Alligator mississippiensis: one gene and its partners. The protein of the gene in region 3 purifies or fractionates together with the protein of the main gene of each other region. This does not show direct contact. Links are inferred from orthologs where the notes say so. Each region holds a gene or a part of one and is shown on either strand. Other genes may lie near its edges.

Region 1 (7,062 bases), on a different chromosome or scaffold from region 3:
CTTATACATAGTTTTCCCTGAGCTGTGGGAGGAATCCTCCCCCCCCACCTCCCCGCAGAAAGACCTTCCTCTTCCTCAGGCTCCTGACCACCCCTTCCCTGCAGCCCTTCTCCTCTGGCTGCAACCATTGTCCATCATCCATCCAGGCCGTTCCTGACAAAGGGACCCCCAGTCCATATACCTGCCTCCCCTTTAGCATCACTTCCCTGTACCATAGTGCTCTGGCCCCAGCCATACTGCACGGTGCTCAGGGTGAAAGCCAAGTTGTGCATTTCAGGAAGGGCGTCTCCTTCCCAGGGGACAAGTTCATCCAGGAGCCTGCTGGGGGGTGGGGGTGGCGGTGGGGTGGGAAGGTGAGGGGAGGTTGTCTGACATTTGCTGGCAGGCACGTCCATTCCTGGGGGGAGCTGGGGTACATCATCAAGGAAAGTGAGTCAGTTGGTCAGCAGCCCTGAATTCTGGAGAGCATCATCGTCCCTCTCGTGGCTGCTGATGTCTCTCAGAGGAAATGTATTCCTGCTCTTTACTGAAGACAGGGTGAGTGCTAAGGTAGCTGGCAGGATATAAAAAAGGCTGCCTGCCTCTGATGTTGGCTCAGCCTGGAGTGCCTGGCACGGCAGACCTACTTCCATTGGTTGGGAAGCCTCCTGCTGGCTGCTTGGTCAAAGGTCTCTTTCCTTCCTTGTGCAGGGCTCAGATGAGGCCATGCCTTTTGCTGCACTGGCTTCCTCAGTCCCCCAGGCCTGGGCTGGCAGGGAGAGATTCTGCCTGCCCACAGGAGGGGATTCTCCATTGCCCTGAACCGTGGGAGGTTCCAGTAGCATCCGTGCAGAGTGTGTGCAAGGCCAGAAGTACATTATATGGGTGCAGATCACTATGCAAAGTAGTTGTGACTCTTTCAATCTTCCCAGTTCTCACGGTTGGGACAGAGTGCTCTTAAATCCAGCTGAGCTGAAGGTGTTCTGCCCTTAAGAGTACCTGCTTCCTTCTTAGGGACCAAGTCACCTTCTCCATCCCTTATCACTCCCTGACCCCCATCAAGGGCAGGGCTTTAAGTCTACAAGGGCTGGGCCAGCCGCCCACACCTACTGGCACTGCACAGGCAAATATTTGCAAAGGCGCTGGGAGATAAAGACACCACTGCCCTGGTGGGTCTGGATCCGTGCAACCATGGCTAGAAATACAAAGCCTTCTTTTGTGCCCAAGGCTCTTGGGGATGGCAGATGGGGAGTCCAGGTCTACAAGATGGCTGGAAGGAGAGTAAATGCAAGACAAATGGGGCTTGGAGCCAGGGACTCCTGAGTCCCAGCCCTACCTCCAACAGCTCAGCTCTGCAGTGGAGAGGAGCGCAGTAGTGAGGATGGATGACATGGTCCTTGCCACTGATCCCCCATGCCAGATTGGACTTTGGTGGCCTGGACTGGATTGCTTTGCAGGCTGGATCCAGCCTATAGGCCATAGGTCGCCACGCGCTCCATGGCCTTGACATGTATCACTCCACCATTTACCGAGCCCCGTGAGAGCTATGGCAGGAACAACTCAGATCCTCCTGTTCCAAAAGCACACGCCATTTCTCCTGCTGATTAAAGGAGAGCCTCCCTCAGCTGTATAGGCATATGACACACAATCCAGCAGTTCCAATTTCATCCAGTAGAGAACAATTAGTGACACAAACCCCTGCTGTAAGTCAGGATTGGTCTGAATTGCAAAGTTCAGCCCCAGGGTTTTGTTTTAGGACTAAATTCTCTTGATTGAAGGAAGATGAACTGCATTGAGTAGATCCCTTTTTCTAGCAATATATTATTTGTGTTGTTTCACTGCCTGGAAACCCCAGGTATGGATCTAGACCCTATTGTGCTAGGTGCTGTACAAACCCACATACATCCAGATCATAGAAAAGCTGCTTTGAAACAATGCTTTGAGGGAATAGTGTTGAAAACCACAGGGGTCACATCCTGCTGTTGTCTAGTTTGTACTTATCATTAAGGTGTTTGTTGTTGTGGTTTAGCTAATGCTTGGAAGAGAACAGCCAGGAAGGCCAAGGGGCTGAGAAACCCCACAGGAAGCAGACCTCCCTCATTCTGTATCTGTCCCCAAAGCAACAAGCATAAGCTTGCCAAAATCAAAGCGTGGGCGTGGGAGCAGCCACAGTGCTCAGCATCAGCATTGTGCAGATGCTATTCTAGAGCGCAGCAGAAGCGATACAGTGGTTCATACTCAGGGATGGTACACTGCAGCCTGGAGGGGCATATATCAGGTCAAGAGGTTCTTGGTTGCAGTGTGTGACACAGCAGAGTAGCATAGTTGCATCAAGGCAACCTCTCTGCACATAGCAAGACTTAGATCCTGGTGCTTCCTTGTCCTGGCACACCCCTTTGGGGCTTCCTGTTAACCACCCTGCGGCTGAGAAGTTGGAAAGTGAACCCAGTGGAAGATAGCACGTGGCTGCTGTGCACCCTTAATTCTGCCCTCTATTCGTGGGGGTGGAAACGGAAGTTTCTGAGGTCATGACCGCAGTCATCTGTGCTGACTGGTGCAGGTTGCCAGCCTCACGTGGGCCTTAGAGTGCTCCCAGTGCTGTGAAAGTGGAAGCTGCCTGCAGCAGAACCGAGGGCATTAGAGCAGCATGAAGGATAGCGATTACACATGGGCAAAGGCTGTTTTCCCTACACAGTCATCTCCCCCATGGAAATGCAATGCAAACCCCATACCTTTTTTTTTTTTTTGGAGATACAGTGAATGTTGGATTGACAATGATGCTGGCTCCTGCTGTACCATGCATGTCCCATCCCCCCCCCCAGACTTGCAGATAGTTTGTAGAGGAAAGTCCTCCTCCTGCAAATCCTGGTGTGTGAGTGCAGTGAGTTGGCTTGCAGAACTTGCCATCTTGACCAGCTGCAGGGATGGAGATGGAGAGCTCAGCAGGGGTTGGGGTCCTGTGGAAATAGCTGCAGCATTGGGCTTTGCTGTCCAGGTATGTCCCAAAAGGGATGGTGCTTCCTTGCAGCTCAAAGGCCACCTGGGTTCATTTCTAATTAGGGCCTTAGGATGGTAGAGCCAGGGGCTCAGTCTCTGAGCACGCCCTTGGTGGTCTGCGCACGCACTTGTACAGGGCTATTGCACTGCGGTGAGCAGTTATGGTGATGTGATTAATTCTGGTCTCTCCTAACTTTTGAGTCATTGACGCAGCACTCTCCTCTCCTTCCTGGCCTTTTGTTCTTAATCCCTCCTCAGGCTTCAGTGTAGTGTTGTGAGTGCACAAGGTGTGTTTCAAAACCTATGAAATGGGGCAGCTGTCCTGCCAGTGGGAAGTTTGCACTGCAAAACCAGCCTTGTGGCTGGGCTGGGGGACGCCAGCCAGAGCTTCTGAGCCCTGGTGTGCGCCTACCTGGAGTGCGCCAGGCTGCCACCCCTCTGCCGCCTTGTCCCGAACCCGCTGCTGAGGTTCCCCCCGCACCCTTTTTGTTACGCCCCGCCAAGCCCCAGGACCTCCTGGCCACCCTCCTCCTGGCTCTGGCCAAGCCGGGCACCTGCAAGAAGGGGGCGCGGGAAACCGCCGGGCTCTTCCTCACTCCTCCTGGCAGGGTTTGACTGCTCCACGTCCGCAGGCTCTTTCAAGGGGCAGTGGGCACTGCTCCGTGTCCCCCTCCACCTCTCCAGGCATGAACCTGCGACCTCCCTCCCCTTCCTGCTTTCTCTCTATTTGTGGCTGAAGTGTGCGCGCTGGGCAGGCTGGCAGTCACTCCTGGGGGGCCGGAGCCCACCTCACACGGGCCAGGACGGGGATCGGGGCCGGGCCGGGCCGGGCCGGGCCGGCGGGGAATGGGGACAGATGCCAGCTGCGGGCTGCCGCCTGCCAGGACACGGCGGGCTCCCCTCCTTCCGCGGCGGGGGCCGCCGGGTCCTGCCTGGCTCGGAGGGGGCCCGAGGACCGGGGCGGGCGCGGCGCGGCGCGGCGCGGCGTGGGGTGGGGGGGCGGCGCCCCCATCCTCCTCCCCCGGGGCGGGGCGGGGCGGGGTCGGGCCGGGCCGGGCCGGGCCGCGGAGGGGCGGCAGGTGCCCGGGAGCGCGGGCGGGCCCTTTAAGGCTGCAGTCGCGCCCTTCCCCGGAAGAAAAGAGCGGCAAGGTGGGGGCCGGGCGGGTGGATCATGGCTCCCGGCGTGCGGGCGCTGCTGGCGCTGCTCTGCCTGGCCGCCGCCGCCGCCGCCTTCAACCTGGACACCAGCTCGCTCGTGCTCAAGCAGGGCGGCGGCGCCCGCGCCTTCTTCGGCTTCTCTGTGGCCCTGCACCGCCAGAGCCAGGGGCAGAGCCGCTACCTGTGAGTGCCGGGCGGGCCAGGGGGCGAGGGGTGGCAGCGGCAGCCGGGCCAAGGGCTGCCCTGCGATGCCCGGCGGGGGACGGAGCAGCAGCCAGTGCGGGGCGCCGGGAGGCCTCGGGGGCATGAAAGGCTGGCACTCCCCCGTGCCTGGGTGGGAGGGGAAATTGTCTGTCTATGTGTGTGTGTATGCATCTATCTCTCTATAGAGGTCTAGCTATATACACATCTGTCCAGGGGTGTACTTGGTAGCCGTATTGGTCTGAGATGAGAAGGCATACAAAAAACTGGAACTCTTGGTTCCAAAATGGTCCCTTTTATTTGGGATAATAAAAGGGATCGTTTTGGAACCGAGAGTTCTAGTTTGCTGTGTATCTAGATCTGTACACTTTTATATCTCTCTTGCATCTATATATAGATATGTCTAGAGATGGCTAATAGATGTGCACGCGCACTAGCTCAGAGTTTCCTCTGCTGGCGTCTTGATTTAGTGGCACTGACCTGCCGGGAGCCCTCTCTCTAAGCTCTCAGTGTCAGGATAACGTGCTGGAGTCCGGCAGTGCCTGACTGAGAGCGAACAGCCTGGGATTAGTATTCGCAGGGAGAGGCGAGGAATTCTCCAGGATCAGTTGGGCATTCCTGCAATGCTTCTCTGCGTGGGTCAAGCCCTCCCAAAAGAGGACAATCTGTGGCTCTCTCTTGCTGCCACTCTTTTGCCCCCAGATCCCCACTCCCTTGGGCAGCTTGTTTTCACTGAGAACCTGGGCAGCTTGCTTCAATAAACTGGGAACCTGACTTTCCTTTCCATTCGCCTCCTGCAGCCTGGGTAGATAGTGGCTGGCTCCTTGGACAGCAGCATCATGCTGGCTTGAGTAGAAAGGCCGGTGCGATGCCCATATGGTCCTGTGCTGTCCTGCACCTTGCATGAGCATTGACGCCCCTGCCCAGTGTTACTGCTCGGAGGCAGTTGTGCAGCACAGTCACTTTGCAGTAGCAGAAATGTCTGCATGAGAGCCACAGGGACTCGGGCCCCTTGGGGGTTTTGAAGTCGGGAGCCAGCTGGAGGGTCTGTCTCTTCTATTGAAGCACAGATCTTGTGCCCGAAAGAGAGCTCTCACTGCAACAGCTGCAGGGACTGAAGGCATCTGCTCTGCATTCCAGAGATTCATGCTGAACGCTGGCTCTCCGTGGAGTGTGGGATTCTTTTTTCCCTCTCAAGAGGGAGTGCGCTGGTTCTGTGTTGCTCCCTCTCTAGAACAGCTGCTGTGTTGGGGAGGGGAGGAGGTGGGTTCTTTGCAGGGAAAGTTGGCTTGCAGACAGGACCATGTGCGGTAGGAGTTGACGGTTGTCGCTGGGCCTCCCCTGTGCTTGGGAGGTGTTGAGGGAGTGTTGTGCAATGGTTAGAGTGCTCAGTTAGGGCTTGGGAGAACTAGATCTAGCTCTGTGCTGTGCCAACAGGCTCCCTGTGTGCCCTGTAGCAAGTCACTTAGTTGCATTATGTTCAGATCCCTGCATGGAAGTTGAGGATATTAGCCTTGCTTGACTCACCAGGGGGTGTACATGAGACCTGGGCCAAGCCATCTTGCATGTGCCATGGAGTAAGGGCATATTGGCATTCATAACTAACGTGGAACCTATTGCCACAAGGATGTCTTGGAGGCCAGTAGTATAACCAGGTTCAGAAAGGGATTAGACAAGTTTTTGGAGGGGAGGTCCATTGGGCAGACTTACTACTGAAAACTGGCAGATTGTCACAGGGGATGCATCATTCTGTATGTGCATGCCATGGTTATTACTCTGATCCTGTAACTACTCATTTGCTACTTGCCCCTGTTGGAGACAGGCTACTAGGCTGGGTGGACCCAGGGTCTGACCCAATGTGGAGGTTATGATGATTAGTTACAAAACAGCTGACGCATTTCACACTTACCCCCTAGCTTACCTTGTGGTAACTCGTCTGCACAGTTGTGCCCTTAGGTAATGGAGTTAATAACACAGAGGGATCCAGACTAATCTAAAACCCACTCTTTTACAAGGCTCTTTCCTCTTCCCAGAACACTCTCACCTTGGGTTGGCATGGGACCCAAATAGACTCTTGTCCATGATGGAGACCAAGTGAGTGGATCCTGTGAACCAGAGGATCTTTGCAGTGAGCCCACGGAATAGGGGCTCTTGCCAACTCCTGCTGCTCCTAAATCTGGCTCTGCACTTTGCTTCTGCTCCCCAAAGTCTGAAGCCTGCCCCTGATGCCAAGCTCTGACGTTCTGATTCATGCCAAATACTGGCTGCTTAGACCCTGCCCCAACTGAGAGATTCTTCCAAAACCATGTCCTTAATCCATCTATGAGATCTGGTCTCCCAGCTGCATGCATTTGGAAGGCATTTGCTGTGACTCCCACACATACTCCCTGTTTACTGCTCAAGCAAGGTTCTTCCTAGAGTGGGAGTGGAGGGGCCTACAGGGACAATCATCTGTGGCTGGGGATGAGGAGGGAGTAGGTGGGATGAATGCAGAGCCGCACATTCCTGAGAAGGACGGCAAGGGGAGTCCGAAGGGCAGCAGCAGCTTTTGCAAGCCTGACCTTGAGCTGGTCCTTCTTCTGTGTATGTGTTAGCTTTGGGATGAAAAAGTTGAGCAACTGGGTGCTAAAGGGCAGGTATGAACTACCTGCATCCCCACGTGCAGTGCTGCAGAACCAGCTTGCTGGGTTCCTGGCTGTGGGTGAAAAAGGGGCCTGCCCCTGAAGC
Region 2 (6,927 bases), on a different chromosome or scaffold from region 3:
TCTAATAATAAATTCAGTGTTAAGCTAGTCTTTACGTTTAGCAACTTCTTCATTCTTGTACCATTGCAGGCACATACCCATATTCTGAAAAACTATCAGCAAGGCCGTCTAAAGATTCTCAATGTATTCCTTCCAAAAGCATATAGAACATGTAGGCAGGCATACATTAACTGGGGCAAACACAGGAGGACTGTACAGACCTGTTTTCAGGGACGGAACTGGAAAAAAAAACTAGTATAAAAGTGCTAATGTGCTTCAGTGGACAGAGCGCTGGACTTGGTTTCAAGGGACTTGGGTTCTATTTCTGACACTGACCTGTTCTTCCCTTTCTCTGTCTTGCTTATATGAACTGCAGTTTCTCTAGGGAAGGAGCCATCACCTGCCACACGCAGTACCCAACATGCGGTGTTTAGATTTCAGCTGGAACCTCTAGGCACTTCTGTAAAACTAAGTATTCTTTTATAGCACTCTATCTTTGAAAAAGTTTGCAAATACTGGCTAGTTATTACTCATATTTGTCTGCCTCAGATTATATTAATTATCCCATTTTACAGATAAGGAAAATGAGACAACAACGCTTAGGGAAGAGGTTCTCAGACTGTGGTTCATGGACCATCGGTGCTTTGGAGAGTATTTATTACTGGTGAGCTTATCAAGTTTATTGCCTGATATCAAATACATTAGAAAAATGAAAAAAAAAAAAAATTAGACATTTTTCTAAAATGACTCCTACATGCAGTCAATTACTGTACTTACCACAGAGCTATTACAGTCACACATGGGAGAGTCATGTGTGCACACTGGTGGTCCATGAAACAGTCCCTGTAGTAAAATACAGTCCACACATGAAAGTCATTGAGAACCCCCAAGTTGGGTCAGAATCAGTGGCAGGGTAATCATGAATATTGGAGCAAGATGACACCACCTAACTAAACCAGATGTGCCCACTAAGCAACTCTATACACAAAACATACTGTAAATATTTGGAAAACTGTATCTAAGATACTAGAATTCATAAAGCTGTTCCTGCCAACTTCATCATCTATGCACAGGAATTCTAAATTTTTACACAAATACAGTTACTTTTTCATTTTTATGCATGTTCTTATCCAGTATCTAACGGATGCATTTCTATTGCATCCTAGAAAATGTACCACTTTGCTGGTATTGCTAGTAGGAATGTACATTTTACAGCATGAGCATGTATTCCTTACAATATTCACAGCAAAAGAATATACACAATGCCTTTTACTTTGAGCACAAATTACTAATTATATGTCTTTGCTGCTGTGCAAGAGTAATCCAAGTAAATGTGTGAAATAGCATAGAACTATATTATTAATTTAATTCAATAATTTAAATCCACCCATTAACATTCAAATTTAGCATATATCACCTTGTAAGCAAACTCTGATCAGATTACTACCTTTATAACTGAATACAGATTTATTGTAAAAAATAATAATTTCCAACAATACTACAAAATTCTTACAAACACATTTAATTTAAAATTTAGTAACCCAGTGAAATCAGTCCTGACTTTACACAGTGGTTTTTCTCTTTGTTTACTGTGTTTAGTTGGCACACTGTTGAGCAGCACAGTCATGACTTATCTCCATGCCACAGTATACTACAACCAACGGTAGACTTTGGGGTTGCATGGGCTATGAACAATGCCAGGAAATGGAATGAGCAGATTATGTGCTGTAGTCATCCCGCCCACATGCAACCAAGAAAAGAGACCTAAATCTGATTACCTGCTCAATGTAGGTAGTGCATCTTTCCTCATCCAATTCTACCAGCAGTGAGAGATTGCACTTCAGTTAATTCACTGTTTTTCCCTATGCCAATTTGTTTGTACAGTGAATTAGTATCAGAGTGCTTAGTGAAAGACAAAGAATCAGTAAGTTGTGTCCAAAGCTCTTATCAGTGTCAACTATAGCTGATAATAGTGAGTGGCCATGAACAGGCATTCACTTCTGCTTCTACCAGTGGAAGTTTCTGAGTGATCATACAGGCACTCAGCCTGCCACCACCCTCTCCCCTTCTCAAGATTAGGGTGATCCTGGCCTAGGGTGCGGTGACTGCTCCACTTCTCCCATCCCATTCGGGGGGGGAGGGGGTGGAGCAGTGCAGAAAGGCTCCTTTACTTCCACAGACCAGACACGCAGGTCTGGGGAACAGGTGGAGTCCTTCCCTACTGTTCCACTTCCCTCCTGTAGACTGGTCAGGCAGCCAGGAAGTCACTGGCCTGGCGAAGCACAAGGAGCATTGCCCACTACCCCAGGGAGACCTTTCCCAGCCCCCACTGGGTAGCGCAGGCAGCAAGGGTAACCCAGCAGGGGCAGAAAAAGAGCTAGGAAGAGGTTCCTAAGCCCTGTTTCCGGCCCCAACATCACTACCCTGCTGGTAGTCCCTAGTTTGGGGACGAAGTAGGGGGCAGAAGTACATCACACTGCTAGTAGCTCTAATGCTGCCCTGGTAAAAAAGTGCCAAGGGCAGGGGAGTCACAGTAATTTGTATCTGCCAAGCAGAATACAGAAAGCAGACAAGTTAGTACTTTATTCCTCAAGTTTTAACCACTAGAAACCAACAGTAGCATCTACCAGAAAAGGCCTTTATTGTGTATGTCACGGTAAGATCAGTTCAGATTTCAGTGCAAGATAACTAGCATGTAGAAGAGGGATGTCAAAGATACTGCCCATGGAGCCCTATCATTCAGCCTGAGGTGCTGCCCGTGGTTCTCTGACTGGACCTAAGCACTGCATGTAGCATATGCTCCAGACCACCCAGAGGAGCTGGGTGCAGGGACAAGCAGGGCAAGACCACCCTTCTTTCTCCCTGCTCCACCCCCTGCCCCAGAGGCACAGGGGAGTTTTGTCCAGGGTGCAAAAAACTCATTAGTTAATGCCTCTACTCCTGCTTGTTTTAGGTTTATCAGAAAACCCCAACACAGACTGGAGCACGTGGCGACACACTGGTGGCAAACGAGAATAAGGAGAGGCAGCAAACAGTGGCTCTGAACCAGGGATGCCGGCAAGCTGCAGGGGGCTGCCCTGACTTGGATACGACCCAGAACCACTGCACTATGAGACTTCTCTCAGCACCAGCGCTAGTCAGGGATACAAGCAGAAATCAGTAGTGTAGACATAGTTATACCAGGAAAAAACCCAACTTTTCTTGGTACAGCTCATCTCCCTCATGGGAAGCAGCTCTAAACTTTGTCTCCAACCCACAGCTGTGCTGAGGAAGGAGCAGGCACACCAGGATGGGGTTTACTGCAGGGATACAGGCAGGGGCAGAGGGGTGCACTTGCACTCCCCCCCAAAGGTTACAACCAGCCGCCTGGCAGCGACAGCAGCCTTTCTAACCAGGCAGGGCGGAGGAGGCCGTTTGACTTCATGGCTCATTACAATCTACTGGATCCCTTCTCAACTCTTCCTTCTCTTCTTTTTACGCAGTCCCTGAAGCTGGCCTCTGCTCTGCCACACTGCTGCTCCTGGGAACAAGTGCCCATTTCTCCACCCGGCGGGTGGTTTTCCCCTCCTTGCCAGAAGCTGGATTTGGTTTTGCTGCCGTCTTCAAGGGAACAGTCCAGCCCTAGGCCCGGGCCTCTTCCCCCGCATCTCCTTCCCGTATCACCGAGGGGAAACGCGGTCCGTGCTGTTCTCAGCCTCCGCGCCCCGACCCCAGCTCCTCCACCCGCCCCCGGCCCCGGCCCCGGCCCCGGCCCGGGCCCGCCGCCTCAGGCGCTGCCCCGGCCCCAGCGCCCCCCACAGCCCGAGCCCGAGGCCGGAGAAGCGGCTCCGCCTGACGCCAGCGGGCAGGAATGCGCCCGCGCCCGCCCCCGCCCCGGAAACAGCGCGCGGGGCGCCCGGCCCGGCCCGTCCCCGGCCCCAGCCCCGTCCCGGCCCGGCCCTCCCCCGGCGCGGCGCGGCAGCACCGGCACGAGGCGGCGGGACAGCGCCACGACACGAGCCTGCGCCGCGAGGGGCCGCCACGGCCATGGCCAAGGTAGGGGCTGGGCCGGGCTGGGCTGGGCTGGGCCGGGCCGGGCCTCTGCGGCGGCGGCCCCGGGCACTTGCGGAAAGGGCCGGGGCCGCTTGTTGCGGTGTCCGGGGCAGGCGGCCCCTTGTGCGGGGAGGCCCCGGGCGGGGACAGCGCGGCCTCCGCGGCGCCGTCATGGCCGGGACAGCGGGGAAAGGAGCGCGAGCGGGCGCTCCCCGGCCCGGCCCGGCCCTTTGTGTGGGCTGGGAAGAGGTTGCCTCGGGCCCGCTCCCCCTGCTGCCGAGCGGGTAAGGGGGGCTCTTCCCCGCTCTCCGCGCCCACTGAGGGGGGGGGGGTGCGCGACTCCCGCCTGCTTCGGCGCAGGGCGGCCGGGGAGGATCCCTGGGCCCCCCGCAGGGAGCTGGGTGCCAGACCAAGGTGTGGGCCCAGTCAGGCTGGATCCTGAGCAGGCTGCCCCGGTTCTGGTTTGGTGGGGCACGTCTGGCTGCCGACTCAAGCCGTCCAGCAGGGCTTGTTTGCACTTTTGCTGGGCCTGCCTTCAGCGTGTCAAAGCAGACACAGCCGACCCGTTTAGTTGCTGGCCTGTGTCCTGGGCTATATCTGTTTTGTTACCCCAGCAAGATCTAATTCAGACTATCCCTGTTTCTGGGAAAGTAGAAGTCCCAGAGAAGGAGGCTATCACACAGCATGCGCACAGACACCACAGTTATTTCTTTATGCAGAGAGGAGATACTCAATTAGAGGTAGGATTTTTTAATATTCTGACTAAATACCACTAGTAAGTAAGTTAGGAAATATCCCCTGCAGTAGGACTTTAGCAGTCATAATAGCAATCAGCAGAGGCACAGTCTAAACTTCTACACTCATGATGATGAAACCAATGATTCATTTTCTGGTCACAAAAATATTACTTACCCCAGGGCAAATGGGTAATTGGCATTTTGCAAGACTGCCTGAAGCTAACTTGTAAGGCTTGTTGAAGCAGTGAGCAATAAGCAACACGCAGTCAAGACATGGCAAGTTTAAAGGGCGTTTTAGTCTTAGTTTCTGTCTTTTTTGAAGTATTTAAACAGTGACAGGGTTCTAGCCTGCAGGGCTGTCAAGCAGGAACCCATCTTCACAGGGAAAGAAATTACTGCTAGAAAATACTTCAGTACACTGTCTGTGGCTTAGTGGTTTGATCATGGGGTTAATACGTGTGAGAGCTGAAGTCATTTGCCTGCCTGCCCGCCCAATTTACTATGTGACCCTGACCAAAGTCACTCTCTCTCTCCACATGAGCATTAAACTAACATGAAGAAAAAGAAATGTCAATTGGATCCATCATTGATAAGCACTTTGTAATCCAATTAGAAAAATTCAGACAATAGCTTGAAGTATTCATGCTTTTTCATGATTGTTAATCTTTTATCCAATCCAGTTTGAAGTATCCCAAGTGATTGGTCATCTGATATTTCCCTTGTATATGTAGTCAGCTGGAGGACTGAGTACCATCCCCCACCCAGAGCTTTCCTGGATGTTTAGTACAAGTTTCTTTGTTCATGATTTCATCCCATAATGCCTCAGAATTCTCCTCTGTAGTCCTAGGATAGGTCTGCTACACTATACTGAAGTGTAGATGACTATGCTTCTCTGCACCACACTAAATGCCTTTGTTACTTTTGGTATGAATAACCTGTTATTTGTAAAATAGGCATCACCTTTCCCTTCACTCCCTGTCATGGTTTAGTAGAGTTGTGGTACTTATTTAGCTTTAACATCTTCATGAGAAGTTGGTCTTGTTACTATTTTCTGAAGTCTCTAGTTGTCAATTTTATTTAATTTTTAAGATGCCAGGTTACTATAAATAAGTGAGGGAAGTGCCAGGTGTAGTTGTACCAGGAACTTTAGCAGGCAGGACTGAGGTCCACTCAGAGGAGAAGTTCCTTTGAATGATAAATTCAGAATTTGCAACAAAAAGAAGAATCAGTACAAGGAGGCAGTCTCGCCCATTAGACTGTTGGCGCGGGGGGGGGGGGGGGGGGGAAGAAGAGAAAAAAACCCCAAAACAAACCACACTAGTCATCAAGCTATCATTATTTAATATTAGTCATCAAGTCGATTAACTCATATGCAGTTCCAGGCACATGGTACCAGAAGGGACAATAGGTTCAGTAAATTAAGTTTGGAACAGTCCAGCAGAGCCATAGAGCCTGGGCTTGACACAGATGGTTTCAATTTCTCTCATTCCCTGGATTGAATGAAGTTATATGGACTCCTTATGCTTTGGAGCAAATAAGGCAATAGCCAACACAGTCTAGCTGACCAACCCAACAGGCCTAGACTGAAGAAGCCCTGTCATTTTTAGCACCCCCAAGATCCAGGTAGCAGACTGCACTGTGGTTTGGCTGGATCTGGTGATGGAGCTCAGGTGGAGAATTTTTCAATCAAATACACCCAGTTTCTAGGAACATTACTACTTTAGGATGTGCTTTCACAGACTTTGTTTTAAGCATTAGTCAGAGTTTAATTTCAGCTTTTCCTTAGGAGACAGCATCAGAAGACTCCATTTGGTTCGAGACAGAAGTTCGATAAACTATTTTGACTCAAGTCTGATAGTACATTTCATAGATTTCATAGACATTACGGCTGGAAGGGACCTCGGAAGATCATCGAGTCCAGCCCCCCGCCCAAAGGGCAGGACGTCAGCTGGGGTCATAGGATCCCAGCAAGATAAGCATCCAGTTTCATCTTGAAGGTGTTCAATGAAGGCGCTTGAACAACCTCCGGCGGCAGGCTGTTCCAGACCTTGGGGGCTCGGACAGTAAAGAAATTCTTCCTTATGTCCAGCCTGAAACGATCTTGTAGTAGTTTGTGACCATTCGACCTTGTCATCCCTTGGGGCGCTCTGGTGAACACACGTTCCCCCAGATACTGGTG
Region 3 (7,656 bases):
ACAAAAGTAACACCCAGTCTGTCCTGAATTACCCTTAATGGCCCATGGCGACAGACATATCACTAGTGTTGCACTGCCACTCAGTAGTCCTACCTAGGATCATGGGCATGTGGTCCAGACCTTCTCTTCACCACAAACCAGACATCCCAACAGCAAGTTGTTATGCCCCCTTCATCATAAGCAGGTGTTTTGGGGGACTGAAGATGTCCAATCTCACTGTTGATGGGAACAAGTAAAAGCACCATTTTGTTTTACTATTATCAAGATGATGTCTTGTCACAGTGACAGCCTCTTAGAACTTAAATTCATACAAGTATCATAGATCTTAGAAGCCAGTTTCTGATAGTAGGGTCGCAGAAGGGTGCCTTATAGGATTTTTTGATAAAACGGCTGCCATCTCTAACAGCATCACCTCTGAAACACTGCTTTCATGAACCCCTTTTGCCCAAAAAGGGGTTCATGAAATCTTGTGAAATCCCAGAACCAAAAAAAACTTAGAATAGGGTAAGGTAAAGAGTTTCATAAGATACCCTGAGCGCTCATCATCAAAAATATACAACCCTTAAGTGCCAAACTCTATATTAAGCTGGATTTCTTATCAAGAGCTTCTGTGATCAAGACATTCTGACGATCGATAATCCTCTTCATTAGACACCATGGAACAAAGGCTGCTGGATAAAAACTATGCATGGCGAGCAACACTGTGACGCTACAGTAATCTTCAGCCATGGCTGCTCTTACCCAGTTTCGAAGTGGGAAGCAGGGAGTAGTGCAAAGATAAAAAGAATAACAGGACATAACAGGGTGGATTTGCTGGTAAATTCATTCTCCACTCAGCCCAGAGCTCTCTACAAAGATTTCACCAATTAGCCTACCAACCAAATCTTTTTTCTATAGAAGGGAACCTTTAACAAACAAGAGAAAGAGATGTAAGTGCCCTTCAGCAAAATCTAAGAATACTCACAGTCCCTCTATTGAAGCGGAGTTTAGACAAACCTTGAAATTCCAAGTGAAGTGGGAAGCCACCTCGACATGTGCAAAAATAGAGTGTAGGCCAGTTTTAGAAAGCCAACTCATGCTGATCTTGTGATTATGCTCCTAGAGCCCTCAAGAGATTGCATGTATGTGAGACCTTGAGCTAGTTCCTTAATTTCTTTCTGCCTCCAATCATCACCTCTAAGAATGGCACAGCATAGGCCAACATTTCTCCACCTGTGGGTTGCAACCCAAAAGTGGGTTGCAAGAATATTTGAAAGGGTTGCGAACAAACTTTAAAAGTGAATTAACAGACTTTAAAAATGGAGAAAAACATGGGAAACTGTGGCTTTTCCCTTGCAAGCTGGCACAGTTCCAGCCTGCGAGGGGCTGACTGGGGCCCCCCTGCCCCCCATGTTGGGGGGCTGGAGTGAGGGGCACTGGGCTATTGGTGTTTACAAATGGATTCTGTTACCAAAAAAAAAGATTGAGAATCACTGGCCTAGGCCATGTAACAGCCTAGAGAGAAATCGGGCTTTTCTACTCTGTTGGTGTAAGACATACAGCCACCCAGCTGACACTTGGCCAAAGGGCTCTGCAAAGCACTGCCTCTCCCTGCATCTCTTCTCCCCTTCACCACCCTCACACATGCCATTCTTCCTTCCACCTCTCTGCCTTGCTGGACTGTCTCCTTATCAATCATGAAGCTGAAGTTGGTTCCTTATCCTCAGTTATTCCTGGTCTCCATATCACACCCCACACCTCCCTTCATCTGGTTCCTACAACACCCACCCCACTGCCACTGAGCCAAGACACCTTGCTCTTTCCCTTTAGGTCTCTTCTCGGACCTCCCCTTCCCTTCCACTAACAACCACCCTCTCAGGCTCCTGTGCCTCAAAGGCTCCTAATGATACAGGTATGCAGTGCAATGTGCTCCCAGCCCTTACTGCTATGAAGCCTTGGTCTGGGGCTAGAAAGAAAAGGTCCTGCTTCTCAACAAATACAAGGTGATGCCATGTTCCCATAGATCCCCATTAGTAACAGAGAGGACCCCCCACAAAAAAAAATTGATGCAATTAGAGGTGAGGGCCTTTGACTACAAGCTCTTCCAGGCAGGAGCCTTTTCTGATGCGCTCAGACAGAGCCAAAGACATTGTTTTTAAGTTCTGGTTTCTCAAGAACATCACAGATGCTGCCTGGCAAGGATCCACAGCCTTCTCAAAGGCACCACCTCAGCGCTGCTCTGGGGCTTCAGGATATGACCTGTACTAAGCTGAGAAGTATTCTTTCTGGAAAATATTTTTTTTTGTTGCCATTTCTCAGTTGGTCTAATAAAAGGTATCATTTTGGAACCAAGAGTGCTAGATGTTTGCATTTCTTCTAAGCAGGGAAGCAAACTTTTGAGGGGGGAATCGATTTGCAGGGGGGGGGGGCTTATGTCTCAACTTTTGCAACTCAAAGGCTCGAGATTAATGCAGCGTCAGCCCAAACCCATGTGGTTTTGCATTTCTTTGCATCCCTTCCCAAAAACCAAAGGAAAAACCTGGGGCCAAGCCAGCAAGTTTGGAGGGGGGGCTGCTGGGGGAAGAAGGGAAGAGTTTTACCCCCCCATCCTCCCTCCGCCCACACGCGCACACACTCACTCCACATCTAAACAAGAGGCGAGGTGGGTGGCAGGGTCATGTCTACAGCACAGCAACCAGCTTCTCTCTACAGATGCCCCCATCCCTAACACGGAGCAACCCCCTACTGTTTGGCCTCACCAACCTCAGGCCCATCCAACCTCCCCTGCAAAGTCCAGGGCTGGGGGGAGGAGAGGAGGGCTTACTTTGTTGCTGTTGCTGCTCCAGGTGGGCTTCCTCCCTCCCCCCCCCCCCCCCACAAGAGGATCAGGGGGTTCCTGGCACCGCTCTTTACCTTTTCCAAGCGATCCGGGTGCCAAGGAAGGGCTGGGGCAGGGCAGAGCAGTACCAAGCCTCTCACCCTGCGAGCTGCAGCGAAAGTGAAAACAGCCCTAGAGCCCTGCTCTGCAGCCGCCTCCCCAAACCCCTCCCCGTCCCCAGTCCTTCGTGATTAACTGTTTGAATCAACTCAGATCCAGAGACGCCTAGTGGGAGATGGTGACTATTACCCCCAGCCTCAGCCAGGCACACGCAGGCGTAGGGGGCTGCTCAGAGCAGAGCAGTAGCTCTCCTCCTTCTAGCTTCAGCTCCCTCTGTGCAAAAATGAAGTTGATTTCCTACTTATGGGGAATTTTTACCATCTTGAACTTTGCCTGAGCCTGACAAAGGGCGTGTGAGTCCGAAAGCTTGCAGAAAAATATATGCAAACAAGGTTCTTTGGGTGAATCCAGTATCTTTTATTAGACCAACTTAAATAGTTTCTGGATGGAACAGAAGCCAATATGCACTCTCCCTATGCGTGAAGAAGGGTGCTTGTGCCCAAAAGCTTGTAAAGAACAATTTCTACAACTATTAAGTTGGTCTAATAAAAGATATCACATTTACCCAGAGAGTCTTGTCTGCCTATGTCCTTAGACCAACACAGCAATAACAAACAACCCAGAAAAACGATAGAGCATTCATCTGCTGCAAAGAACTCCGACAGACCACAACCGGGCAAAATGGTTTTGATCTTCTGGATTCCTATTTGAAATAGCTGGGTTTATCGTGAGAATCAAGTTCAAGTGTTTGCACACCTAACAGTGATCATACTGAAAATTACCCTTAAAAGGATCTCCCAGTTGAGAATCACTGAAGTAGAGTGAAGAATAACGTCAGTCCCCAACCCTTCACTCCTTACAGTACCTTCCCCCTTTACAGAATATAACATGCTGATGCATTGCTAAATTCTCTCTATATATAATATATAGAGAGCCACCTCTATATTAAATAAGACAGAGGTGGCCAACCTGCAGCACACATGCCACAAGTGACTTGGGTAGCCTCTGTGCGGCATGCAGCAGGGAGAGGGTAAGCATCACAGTAGCAGATAGAGCACAAAGCAGAGCCGCAGAAGGTACAGAGGAAGGGAATCAGAGTGTCACAGGGCTAATTTGAGGCACAGCTGCCAAAAAAAATTGGCTCCCAACTAAAATAAGATAATATAGCATAAGCATTTTTTAAGGCCTAGGGAAACTGTTGTCCTTGGAAAGTTACTGGATACTAAAAATAAACCCCACAGGAAAGGCCACAAAACACACATTTTTCCTTCCCCCTCCTCATTTCTCTGAATCCCCAAGTTGCCAGGACTTTATTTCCTTAAAATAAACAAAAAAAATTTAATGTTTAACCCTCACATTCCACGAAAACTTCACCAAAAATGCAACCTGATGCAGACATCCTGGAATGCAAAATGGACCTTGCCCTCCTCATATCTTTAACAGCTCTGCCATTTGAGTTATCTCATTCCTTTAAGAGGAAGGGTCTCCTGCTGTGTCTGTTTTGCTAGGAGTGAAAGGCTAATTTTTTTTCCTTTGATGCCATAGATGCCACTTGTTCATTAACCAAGCCCAGGGAGATTTTCACACCCTGTGGAAGAGAAGCCAAGCTCAAGGACATTAAGGGAGACTGGCAGCAATGCAGTCACATGCATCTGGGCAGCCTCTCCCTTTACTGACTCTTGAGGGCAAAGCTTGGAAGAGTCCCACCACAAGCTGTAGCAAAACCCCCAGTTTTGGTTGTTTGAGGTTTTTTTAATTTAAAAATACATTCCCTCCCTTCTCCAACCATTTCTGACTTTCTCTTTGCCCTCTCTATTCCTTATAAGTAGTTGTGATAAGTCATAGTTACGAACATAGGATAAGCTCTCCATTACTGTAACAAGCCCCTTTTATATTGTCCATGTATCATTGTAAATAGTGCCATTATTTTGGTATTGATTTTTATTGGTTTATATTGTATTCCTATTATATTTGTATTCATTTTTACTGTTTTATATTGATATTGTATCTTTTAGGCCTGTTTATGCAAGTTAGCCAAAGTAATGTTAAGTCTCCATCTCGTCTTGTCAAGTCTCCATTTTGTGTCCCCCGCCCGGGTATACCCTATTGTAATTGTGTTTTAACTGTGACTCGTACCTATACCTCCCATGTAAATTGGTTCCTGGGTGAATGAGAGTGCTTGAGACATAATGGTAGCAGGCCTAAAAATAGCTCCTACTGAATAACCGGACCATCAACTTAACGACCCTACCACTGCCTTGCATTGACTCTCCCTGAAACCACAGGGCAAAGGGGGCACCTGTCAGGGCAAAGGGGGCAACTGCCCCAGGTGCCAACTTGGGGGAGGGAGGCAGGGGGCAAAACAAAAAGCAGCTACCACTGGCAGCTGCATAAGTGCAATCATGACAGCTGGACATTGCCTCTGCTTCTGGGCAGTGACTCTTTCTGAAACCACAGACCTACTCCCAGAACCAGAGACAAAACCCAATATTTGAAAGACCCTCCAAGAAACCAGCAACATAGAAACAAAGAACAGAAAAGAAACCAGCAACTCCACTATTGTATCTCACCAAACAATGAGGACATGGAACTGCATGTCCTCATCTGAGCAGGACTGGCCCTTGCCTGGGCATGTCCTCCCCATTAGAGTCACAGGTAGCCCACCCCTATAAAAAGGGTGGTAGAGTGCGACCTCCTTGGGATGCCCTCTCCATCTGAACCAGCACTACACCATACCACCTATCCACCCAGAGGCCCTGCCGGCAAACCCCCTCTGGACAACACCTTGCTGGAGAAGACCACGACTGGCCATCAACAATCGACTCAGCCTGGATAGGTATCTATCACCTGCATCTTCCCTCCACACAAGGGACCTGAGCTCTGTTTCTATACCCCTTGATTTCAATCTCTCTACTAAACAGTTTCTCCCCTGCTACCATTGTGTGAGCGCATGACTGTAACTGTGTGTGCAGGAACCAATAATTTGTAATCCAAATATTGTGTTACCCCTTTTCTAATAAAACTGTTACCAAACTCTGCTCCCCGCCCCTCTGATCTTCATCTCCTCTCTCTTTCACCTCCATCCCTGCTCTCTCTCTCTGCCGCCTCCAACACTCCCGTTTCTCTGCTTCCTCTGATCCTCATCCCAGCCTCTCTGCTGCTTTAGCCCTTGGCCTCTCTGCCGCCTTGACCCCTGGCTTCCCTCCTGTCCCAGCTCTTCACCCTGCTCCCGGCTCCATTCCCTGCTCTGCCCCTGGAATTTCTCCTAGTCGTCAAGCACCGCAAGCACCAACATGCAGCTGCCCGAGTGTGTGTCTATGTATGGATATGTGTGCAGAACAATAATTTTCATATGAATATTTTGTGTATATAATTTTGTGTCATGCCCTCCTGCCTGACAGCATGATATTGAGATCCCGAGCGTGTCAAGTCAACAAAGCCATTACTCTACCGTGTCTCACAGACCCTATCCTGATATAATATAAGCAAGTAACTCAATACGCAAGAGGACTGTAGATGCCAGAGAGACAAGCAGCTTCACAGCTTCTGCCAAAAGCTGCTCCCATGTGAAGGCATAGTGAAGTCAGCTGGATTCACCCCAGGCCTGGCATCTTTGGGGAACAAAATATTCCCTCCCAAAAAAAAATCCACACAAGATACTGCCTCTGGAGAACTCCCACCACACCTGCATTAGCTTGGCATTAAGGCAGAAGCTTCCACTGGCATCAGACAGCCAGTTCACCTTTCTTACCCCCAGGCACTGACTGCCAAACAACTGTTAGTGGAGACATAAGCAAATCCGTCAATTGCTCAATCCCAATAAAACGGAGCAAGTGAATACAACTCATGCAGGGACAGAGTAGATTTTGCAAGCAGGTCCCATGCATTCTAACAGCTGTCTTCAAAACAAAGGCCTTGATCTTGCAAGCTATTTTGTGAAGGATGCATGAACTTGCCCACATAACCTGACTTTACAAATTGCCTTTCCTTACATACAACCAGTGCTGCCTGCTCTGGTGATTTTAGCATGAGCTGCACAACAACTGGGTGCTTCTCTTAAAGCCCCAGCTCCAGGAGTCATGGGATTTAAGTAAGATCCTTCTTGGCTACAGATAAAAACTTTGAGAGATTAGTCCAACGTACTAGGCAAGCCAAAAACGCAGGAGGTAAATACTCCCAGCCTTGAAGTACTGTATATTAATAGTCTCATACAGTTAGGGTGGGGGTCTGATGCAGAGTATCTGGAAGTCTAGAGTTGCCTGTATTTGGACAAGCACTGTCACATCAGACGTCATTTAGCCAATAACAAGCATTGTTACATTAGATGTCATTTAGCCAGTAATTTATGGCAGGGCTGTCCAAATGGGTGCCCACAGGCCACGTGCAGCCCCTGGGCTCTTGGCCCACATATCACCCTGCTCTTGTTCTTGCTGCTGCCACCAGAGTTCCCATGCTCCCCTCCCTTCTTCAGCTTCTGCTGTCTGCCCCCACCCCTAGGGGCAGGGCAGACTAGCACAGCCCAAAGGGCTGAGAGAGCCCATGGCCAGAGGGCTCAGAGGAACCTAGAAACCCTGTGCAGACACATGGTAGGGCTACGTAGCAGTATAGGGAGCCTGCACAGCACACTGGGGACCCCTGTGCTGTGGTGAATCAGGGTTTCCTGTGGTATGGTGAGGGAGGGCTCGTGCATTGTATCATGTCTAGGGCCCCTGGGTGGGGGAGGTCCTGCAATGGGTCAA

Evidence for each region. Proteins that work in one complex are often made in the same cells at the same time.
Region 1: the proteins of CD151 (region 3) and ITGA3 purify together in Homo sapiens (co-immunoprecipitation; 4 studies listed by BioGRID and IntAct, with this or other methods). This does not show direct contact. The link is inferred for Alligator mississippiensis from reciprocal best matches to the Homo sapiens genes CD151 and ITGA3.
Region 2: the proteins of CD151 (region 3) and ITGB1 purify together in Homo sapiens (affinity purification with western blotting; 4 studies listed by BioGRID and IntAct, with this or other methods). This does not show direct contact. The link is inferred for Alligator mississippiensis from reciprocal best matches to the Homo sapiens genes CD151 and ITGB1.

Annotation. Positions count from the first base shown.
Region 1 is NC_081827.1:169,511,182-169,518,243, forward strand, and holds the start of ITGA3 (integrin alpha-3), read left to right. Parts: upstream 1-4,038; 5' UTR 4,039-4,147; coding exon 4,148-4,317; intron 4,318-7,062.
Region 2 is NC_081828.1:193,421,630-193,428,556, reverse strand, and holds the start of ITGB1 (integrin beta-1), read left to right. Parts: upstream 1-3,903; 5' UTR 3,904-4,005; coding exon 4,006-4,014; intron 4,015-6,927.
Region 3 is NC_081825.1:184,108,451-184,116,106, reverse strand, and holds the start of CD151 (CD151 antigen), read right to left. Parts: upstream 3,011-7,656; 5' UTR 2,893-3,010; intron 1-2,892. UniProt on the Homo sapiens protein: Structural component of specialized membrane microdomains known as tetraspanin-enriched microdomains (TERMs), which act as platforms for receptor clustering and signaling.